Linked DNA regions of Macaca mulatta. The protein of the gene in region 2 binds, or shares a complex with, the protein of the main gene of each other region. Links are inferred from orthologs where the notes say so. Each region holds a gene or a part of one and is shown on either strand. Other genes may lie near its edges. The genes, in order: MMP2 and TIMP2.

Region 1 (3,803 bases), on a different chromosome or scaffold from region 2:
AGTTATTACTACATCAATGACTAAGTAAATTAGTTATTAACAAGATTCAAATCCAGATCTGACTCCAAAGTCTGAGTTTAATCACCCTGTGATACTGTCCTTCACGACCCCCACCCTCACCAGTGTCTAGCAGCAATTTTTATTCGTGGTTGATGTTTAATATTTACTGGTTAATCAAACAAACCCATTAAACATTCATCAAGTTCCTTTTGAAAGAAAACTGTGATGTGGTAGGCCAGGGATGGCTCCAGCCTGGGTCTGGGCTCTGCATCCTTTCCTAGGCCCCACACATCTGAGATCTGTGTGTGCGGTCAGGGCTTTCTTAGTGGGAGGTGCTCCAGATGAAGGACATTGCCAGATCCTTACAATGAGGACTGCAGAGCAGCGCTGACATCTGCTGTTACATACCCTGGTTTGGGCATTCGAGGCCTGATGGGACCTGATTTCTCACTACATTCTAAGTCTCATCTCTCATTGCATTCTTGCCATTTCCCCATTGGCCAGCAGACCCTGTGAAGGGCAAAGCATCTGCACCCCAGAATCTGGCCCAGTGCCTAGAGTAGAGGAAATCCTTCCTGAAAGTTTATGGAACATCTTCTAGCTTCACCAGATTCTCGCTGGTTAATCCAGAAACTTTCACATCACTATGGCTTGGCTCTGCAGGTCCCTCTGTCTCAAAGAACCTCCTAACTTGTCACCCCCATCAGATTATTGCTTCTCCTTTAAAGGCTCTGCTTAAATGCTGCTGCATCTGTGAAGTCTTCCTTGACTGGGATGTGCCCACAAAAGCACCTAATGCCTCTGCGATCACTTTTCTTTGATCCTGCCATTCAGTTCTCTATATGCCTATTTCTCAAACTGTACTTGTGATGCAGACTTCAATGTGCATCAGAATCACTGGGAGAATCTGCTATGATGCAGATTCCTGGGGCCTATCCCCAGAGATTCCAGTCAGGAGGGTCTGAAGCTGGGGCAGAAACTCACCTTTTAATACTCACACTCTGGGGGCAGAAACCCACCTTTTAATCCTCACACTCTAGGTGGTTCTGTTATGGGAGGCCCACGCTCCTGTCTTTGAGAACACTGATCTAGCAGCCCCCAACCCCACTGTCCCAAGAACATCATTCTTCCTCCTCCAGCTACTAAAGCCTAGCCAAGTATTTGGCACAGTAGATGTCAAACAATTATTTGTCAATAATAATAGCTAATATGAATACACTTACTCTGTGTCAGGCATTATTTTTGTTCTCAGCGCTAAGTTCATCTAATCCTTACAACAACTCTAGGAGATAGGTTGGAATATTAGCCACATTTTATAAATGAGGAAACCAAGGTACAAAGAAGATACTTAATTAACGTGGCTATGATTATATAACCAGTAAGTAGCAAGTACAGAATTCTAACCCAGACAACCTGGCTTCAGGGTCCATTTTCTCAACTACTACGCTCTATGAATGGATAAATGGATGAATAATGAATAATGGATGGCTGGATCATAAATAATGGATAATAGATGGCTGGCTGGCTGGATGGATGATGGATGGAAAGATACAGGTATGGATAGATGGATGGATGATAGAAGAATGGAAGGACAGACCCTTTAATGAGGTCCTAGATACTGCCTGCCATTCTCCAGGGAGCTAGGACATTAGGGTAAACCTCAGCCTTTAGTCAACTGAGTGGTGATTTTTACCTATAGCAGGTAGAATACCACCTCTTTCTACTCTGCAGTCGCTCACCACCCATACACAGAGTAATCTGGCCATTTGAGGGCAACGCCATTCTAGAAGAAGGCCTGTGGTAGACTGAATTATTGTTCCCAATTCTTCCCTCCATTTCGATTTTAGGATTATGCATTCATGTACATTTCCATGTGACTTTGCAGTACCACCCTCTAGGGTAGGTGTTGGGATCTGCCATGTGATTTATTTCAGGCAGTGGAATATTCTCAGACAAGATGTGAGTAGAGGCTTTAAATGCACTTGTGTAGTTCAATTTGGCCTCTAGCACCATGTCATCTGCCATGTGTAGCTGCTAATCCCATGAGAACAACAGGCAGAGCATACCTGAACCCAAACTGAAGCTGGAAGCCAAGATAACTAGTAGACCCACAGACTATAGGAGAGCAAACAAAATGCTTGGGTGCAAAAAATCTACTGAAACCTGGAGGTTGTTTGATACACACCAGAAACCGCCTAATACAGGTCATTCTGCGAAGCACTTGGTGGGGTCTTCGGCAAAGAGTGAGGGAAAAGAATAATAGTATAAGAGCAGAGGACAGGAGACAAGGAGGACAAGAAGGAAGCTCCTGCACTCACCGGTCCTTGAAGAAGAAGATCTCACCACGGATCTGAGCGATGCCATCAAAGACAATGTCCTGTTTGCAGATTTCAGGAGTGACAGGGCCCAGCGTGGGGGTGGGGCCGGTGCCAAGGTCAATGTCAGGAGAGGCCCCTGGGGGAGAACACCTGACTTTAGACTCTCTGCAGCTGCAAAGGTTCTCCCCACCAGGCTGAGCCCCCAGGGGTGCCCACCCAATCTGCTAAGAGTCAGAAGAAATTGTCTTCTGGCCTTAGTGTAAGCTCCGTAAGATAACAAGAAGATGCCTGGACTTTGGGAGTCCTGGGGCCTTTTGTACTTTAGATTCGCTTTTTACTGATATCACCCAAATCGGTCCTCTCTATATCCCTGAGAGTGGGGTATCATTATTGCACCATTTCACAGGTGAGGAAACTGAGGCCCAGAAAAGTTGAGTGACTTGCCCAAGGACTCAAACCCAAAGCTCAGATTCTTAGACCCACAAGAGTCAGGGCAGTCAGGGGGCCACTGGTGTGTCCAGCACTGAGAGTGGGGCACTCTTCATGATAAGCAATTCTTTTAGAGATGAGGAAACTGAGTCCAAAGAGGTATAAAGACTTGCACAATATCTTGTAGCTGGTGAGAGGCAGAGGCCACGCTTGAACCCAGCACCCTTCACAGCAGACCTTGGGCTTCTTCCTGAGTCTAGCGGTCCCCAAACTTCATCACCATTTTCACTATTTTGGCCTGGCTCAGATATCACCAGGACCATTAAATATTTCTTTTTTTTTTTTTTTTGAGACGGAGTCTCACTCTGTCACCCAGGCTGGAGTGCAGTGGCCGGATCTCAGCTCACTGCAAGCTCCGCCTCCCGGGTTTATGCCATTCTCCTGCCTCAGCCTCCTGAGTAGCTGGGACTACAGGCGCCCGCCACCTTGCTCGGCTGTTTTTTTTTTTTTTTTAGTAGAGACAGGGTTTCACCATGTTAGCCAGGATGATCTCAATCTCCTGACCTCGTGATCCGCCCATCTCGGCCTCCCAAAGTGCTGGGATTACAGGCTTGAGCCACCGCGCCCGGCCGGCTAAATATTTCATTAAAAAAAAAAAACTGAACAGACTTTTTAAACTCTAGCCTCACTGTAAGCACCAACAATAAGTAAATCACTGGCTTAAGGCACTGGTTGTTCTGTTTCTATTACATACTAAAATCAAAGCTTATTATGAAAACCAGAAGCTTCCACCCGCCTACTGTTAAGGTAATTCCACATGACGGAAAATTCTGTCCTGTACTTGGCTATTCTTCTGGATTCTAAACTCCACTGGGTTGCTCAAACCTGTGTAACCTTGCACCAGGTGACCTTACTCACCTAGAAAATGGGAGAAACCCAGAAATGGAGAGCTAAGAGTGACATGGATATTAGCATTGTTCAGATAGGGAAGAGTTATCCAAGTATCCCCTTGCAGAACTGCTCTGCCTTCCCAGGACTAGGTCAACACTCCCGCTT
Region 2 (4,493 bases):
GCGAATGCCCTGAGCTCTGCAGTGCACCTCTGGCATCTGACTGGGCCTCTGAGCTGGGATGGGGTGAAAAGTTTTAGCTAAAGGATGATGTTGATGCAAAGATTTAGACACAAATGCCAGGCAACCCAGGAAAAGGAGAGTGTTGTGCCAAGCATGAAGGAGGCAGGAGGCACGAACTGCAGCCCTCCGCCCTCTGCCATCCTGGATCCACACCCCACGCAGAAACAGCTCCCAGCTTAGTGGCCGCCTTAACTTATGCCAAGCAAGGACAGAGTGGCTGCCTGGACATTCTCCCACACAGCTGAGGAGTGTGTGTGTGGGTGCGGGGGGAGCGGGGAGGAGGGTCCCAAGGCCCAACTCCTACGAATCCACCTCCCAAGTCCTTCTTGCCGCAGCCTCCTTCTGGGCCTTGGCTACATCCTGCCCCACCACGTGCTGGTCAGCCCAAGAGCCTGGACAGGCCTGCATTCCCCATGGACCCCCAGAGAAAGGCCCATTATGGCTCCCTCATCAAAGGAGCCTCTCCTTCACCCCCAAATCTTGCTGAGCACCAAGGCTAAACTGGAGAAAAGACCTCATTTCCCCCAAACTGGGTTTTGTGGAAACTGTGACACAGGCACACGCCACGCCTTCCACCCATGTGGCCTGAGCCACCTGAGACCTGCGATCCCAATAGATTGGCGCAACTGAAAACTTCCCCGGCTGGGGAGGCAGCTCCCAGGGCTAACTGGGGTGGGGCAAGAAGCCGTGGGTGGGTATGGGAAGGGCGTGGCTGACAGCAGGAGAAACAGAAACTCCCACCTCCAGTCTGGGCAGGTGAGGGGCCCCCGCCTTGCTCCATCTGCCCTGGACAGGCCACTCGACTGAGACTCAGACATAAGGAGGAAGGAGGGCAGGGGGCTCTGAGACCACTTGCTGTGTAGCCAGACTTGTCCCAGGAAAACCATGCTGACCAGCACCAGTGCTGCAGAGGCTTGAGGTGTAGGACCAGGGTGGAAACTTCGGGCCAGCGGGTTCCTCCCATTTCTGCTGGTCCTCCATGGATCAGAACAAATAACTGGGCCCCTCCTCCCTCCCTCCATGGCGCCTGTCTTTTGGGGGCTAGGAGTCCTGAGGTCATGGGTATTTGCTGGGGAATCTCAGCCACACAGTCCCACGTGCCGGGTCCAGTCATCAAAGTCTCCAGCTTTTGTGGACGTCCCGAAAAAGCGGAACATTCGGGGGTCCCGGTCCCTGCCCAGCCAGTTTGCAGGGCCTCCTGGGCAGGGCACGAAAAAGGAGCCAGGCCAGGGGACGCCACTGGCTTTTCTCACCTGTCCCTCTGGGCCTGTGGAACCTGCCTCGGGTAGGGCGGGCTTCCATCTCATCCTGGCTTGATCGGGGAGCCCCCAAATGGGGCTGGTGGGAGAAGCCCCGCAGAGAAGCCCTTCCCCACCCAGCCCCAAGCCCAAAGAAGCCCAACTCCCACCTTATCTGCGAAAGTTTCTTCCTGGGGTCCCCAGTCCTCCAGCCCCCCGCCCCCACGCCGTGTCCCCCACGCTCCCTGCCCCCAGCGCTGGCATCCCAGGGTGCGCCGCCTGCCAAAAGCCAAACTGGCTCCCTTTCCTGGGGCTGGAGCTGCGGCGGAATTTCGGTGGAATTTTGAGGTTGAGACGCATCTCGGCAAAGAGAGGGAAAGAAAGGGAGAGGAGGGAGGGGTGAAAGAAAGTCGGCTCTGGGCGTCCACTTGCAAGATTCGAGAAGACGCCGAGGGACCAGGAGGCGGGCGCTGTGGTCCCTCGGCCAGCGGCGGGCGGGCGGGGCGTCCGCGAACCCACGGGGGTCGTGGGGGAGGTGGGGCCCCGCGCGGGGGCGGGGGTCGCCGCTCCTTACCTACATCTGCATTGCAAAACGCCTGTTGCGGGTGCACCGGGGAGCAGCTGCAGGCGTCGGCCGGGCGAAGCAGCGTCGCCAGCAGCAGGAGGCCGAGCGCCAGCCGCAGGGTGCGGGCCGCGGCGCCCATGGCGGGCCGGGGGGCTGGGCGGGCGGGGGCCGCCGCCGGGGGTCCGGGCGCTGCTCGCGGCGGCGGGCTGGGGGCGCGGGCGGGGGCTGAGCCGGGGCCGAGGCGGGCCCCTCCCGCGCGGCTCACCCTCCTCACCTGCCCCTCTCGGCCGCGCAAACTTTCTCTCCTCTTTGTCTCGGGGGCGCGAGGGGAGGGGCGCGGGGCGCAGTTCGCCGGGCGGGGCGGCGGGGTGGGGGGCGGCGGGCGAGCGGCGCTGCGGCTCCCGGCGGCCGCGCTGCCTTCTACGGATGTGTTTGCTGCGGGCTCGGGCCGTGCCGCCGTTTTATTGCGCTCGGAGGATTTTCTGCTCCTCCTCCCGGTGGCTGGCGGCCAATGCAGGCTCCGGGCGCTCCCAGCAGCCCCCTCCTCCCCCTCCGCCCGCGCCTCCCCCCAGCCCGCGCTTTTGTTGTGCCCGGCCTGGCACGTCGGGGGCTTCCCGCACCACCTGGCGCCCGCGGCCCACACCCGTGCGGGGGTCCCCGGACGCCCCCAGCCCCCCGACCCCTGTCCCCGCTGGGTGGCCTTCTGCGCCCGGGGGCCCTGACTCAGCGCGTGGGACTCGCGCCCCGTCCCTCCAGGGCACCGGGCCACCCACCCGCCACCCTTTCCCCTCCAGCTCGACTCTGGAGTGCTACGCTGCTCCGTCCCCCGCCACCCCGGGGTCCCTTCGAGCTCAGCCTCGAGGCGAGCCAAGGGGTGTCCTTTGGAGCAGGGGCCGTTCCCTATCGCCGCCTCCCCGTTCCTGTGGGCGGGTGGCCAATTGAGAAACAGACAGGATCCCTTTTTCAAATGGAGGCCTTAGAATTTCAAGTGCGCCTGGCCAGTTTAGTTGGGGGGTGGGGGTGTGGTTACTGTGAACAAAACAGGATTTTATATAAACTGGCCATATTTTTGACCAGCCAACAAGAGACGGGGGTGGGCCCAGGCGCCCAGGAGCCAGTAGGATCGCAGCAGAGGCATTGGCTGGGCTCCGCTCACAGTTTCCTCTCTTAGCCCACAAATGTGGGAGCCGAAGGACTTTTCCCAAAACAGTTTTGTGTTCCAGGAAAGACCCAGGCATATGAAGGGATGAACATGTGTAGGGTGGTGAGGCGGGCCTCCTGGCTGTGAACCTGCCTGCGCCCGGCTGCGGGCACCCACCCTGCACATCCGGTGTGTGCCCCGAGGGGCTCCGTGGACACTGCTGCACTGAGATCAGCATTCCAGGGTGTTTACAGTCCAGCTAGGGAGATGGAAGCCTAGGAAAATGACACAAGAAGAATCAGGGCGGGCACGGTGGCTTGCGCCTGTAATCCCTGCACTTTGGGAGGCCCAGACGGGAGGATCACTTGAGGCCAGGAGTTTGAGACCAGCCTGGCCAACATTTAGTAGAGACAGTGAAACCCCGTCTCTACTAAAAATACAAAAATTAGCCTGGTGTGGTGGTGCACGCCTGTAGTCCCAGCTACTCAGGAGGTTGAGGCAGGAGAATCGCTTGAACCCAAGAGGCGGAGGTTGCAGTGAGCGGAGATGGCGCCACTGCACTCCAGCCTGGGCGACAGAGCAAGACTCCGTTTAAAAAAAAAGAGCAGAATTGTCCGCTAAACTGTGCAGTGCTGACTTGAGGTATGAAATTTTGGAAAATAGTGAAAGAATGGAAAAACAGCTTCTTTCTGTTTGTGTATGCTTTGTAACAGCTCTGAGAAAAGTTAAATAAGCAGAGCCGTTATTTTTAGCACCCTGACAAATCCAAAGTCACTTTTTCAGTTTTTGTTAGCGTGAAATAGAGTTGTGTCGTTCACAAAATGATGTTTGAAGCTAACGTTTAAAAGTACAGTTAATTCAGAAAATTGTTATGTGCTGGCTGCCTGCAACCATTTCATTGTTTTCTTTCCTTCTTTTTGGTTACAAGGAGAACAAAATGCGGTTGAGCTTGTGTTTCAATTTGTCAGTTCATGATAGAAACAGGTAGCTTAGGGGCTCTCGGTCTTTTAGACAAGCTCTACACATAAATGATCAGGTACATGTTAGGGTGATAAATACTTAGAGCAGCCGTGGTGCCTACAACCAAGGGGGCGGGGCCAATATGGATGTACCTGGGAGGAAAGGCGGGCCTGGGCTCCAGGGTCAGGGGGCATGAGACTGGAACTTCCAACCCAAGGCCTCGCACCTGCGTCCTGGACTGCCCTCCCCGAAGACATCCGCACCAGCACACAAACAGGCTGGAATTGCTCCCAGGAAAAGTTAAGCAGAAATCTTGCCAGGTGCAGTGGCTCACGCCTGTAATCCCAACACTTTGGGAAACTAAGGTGGGAGGATCGCTTGAGGCCAGGAATTTGAGACCAGCCTGAGGAATATAGTGAGACCCTTCTCTACAAAAAAAAAAAAAAAAAAAAAAAAAAAAAAAATTAGCTGGGCGTGATGGCGCACACTTGTAGTCCCAGCTACAGGGAAGCTGTGGTGGGAGGATCGC

Evidence for each region.
Region 1: the proteins of TIMP2 (region 2) and MMP2 are in contact, whole or in part, in a crystal structure (PDB 1GXD), measured with the Homo sapiens proteins. The link is inferred for Macaca mulatta from reciprocal best matches to the Homo sapiens genes TIMP2 and MMP2. Residues at the interface, in NP_003246.1 of Homo sapiens: Ile162, Pro163, Cys164, Tyr165, Ile166, Pro169, Leu173, Met175, Val178, Thr179, Phe191, Arg196, Asp198, Ser200, Cys201, Ala202, Trp203, Tyr204, Arg205, Ala208, Lys211, Gln212, Glu213, Phe214, Leu215, Asp216, Glu218; in NP_004521.1 of Homo sapiens: Trp574, Lys576, Asn577, Lys579, Tyr581, Phe588, Arg590, Lys595, Asp599, Phe602, Lys604, Ile606, Ala607, Asp608, Ala609, Trp610, Asn611, Ala612, Asp615, Tyr636, Leu638, Leu645, Lys646, Ser647, Val648, Lys649, Phe650, Gly651, Ser652.

Annotation. Positions count from the first base shown.
Region 1 is NC_133425.1:50,982,125-50,985,927, reverse strand, and holds part of MMP2 (72 kDa type IV collagenase), read right to left. Parts: intron 2,455-3,803; coding exon 2,319-2,454; intron 1-2,318.
Region 2 is NC_133421.1:88,607,254-88,611,746, forward strand, and holds the start of TIMP2 (metalloproteinase inhibitor 2), read right to left. Parts: upstream 2,869-4,493; 5' UTR 2,437-2,868; intron 2,301-2,436; exon of another isoform or gene 2,070-2,300; 5' UTR 2,003-2,069; coding exon 1,873-2,002; intron 1-1,872. UniProt on the Homo sapiens protein: Complexes with metalloproteinases (such as collagenases) and irreversibly inactivates them by binding to their catalytic zinc cofactor. Known to act on MMP-1, MMP-2, MMP-3, MMP-7, MMP-8, MMP-9, MMP-10, MMP-13, MMP-14, MMP-15, MMP-16 and MMP-19.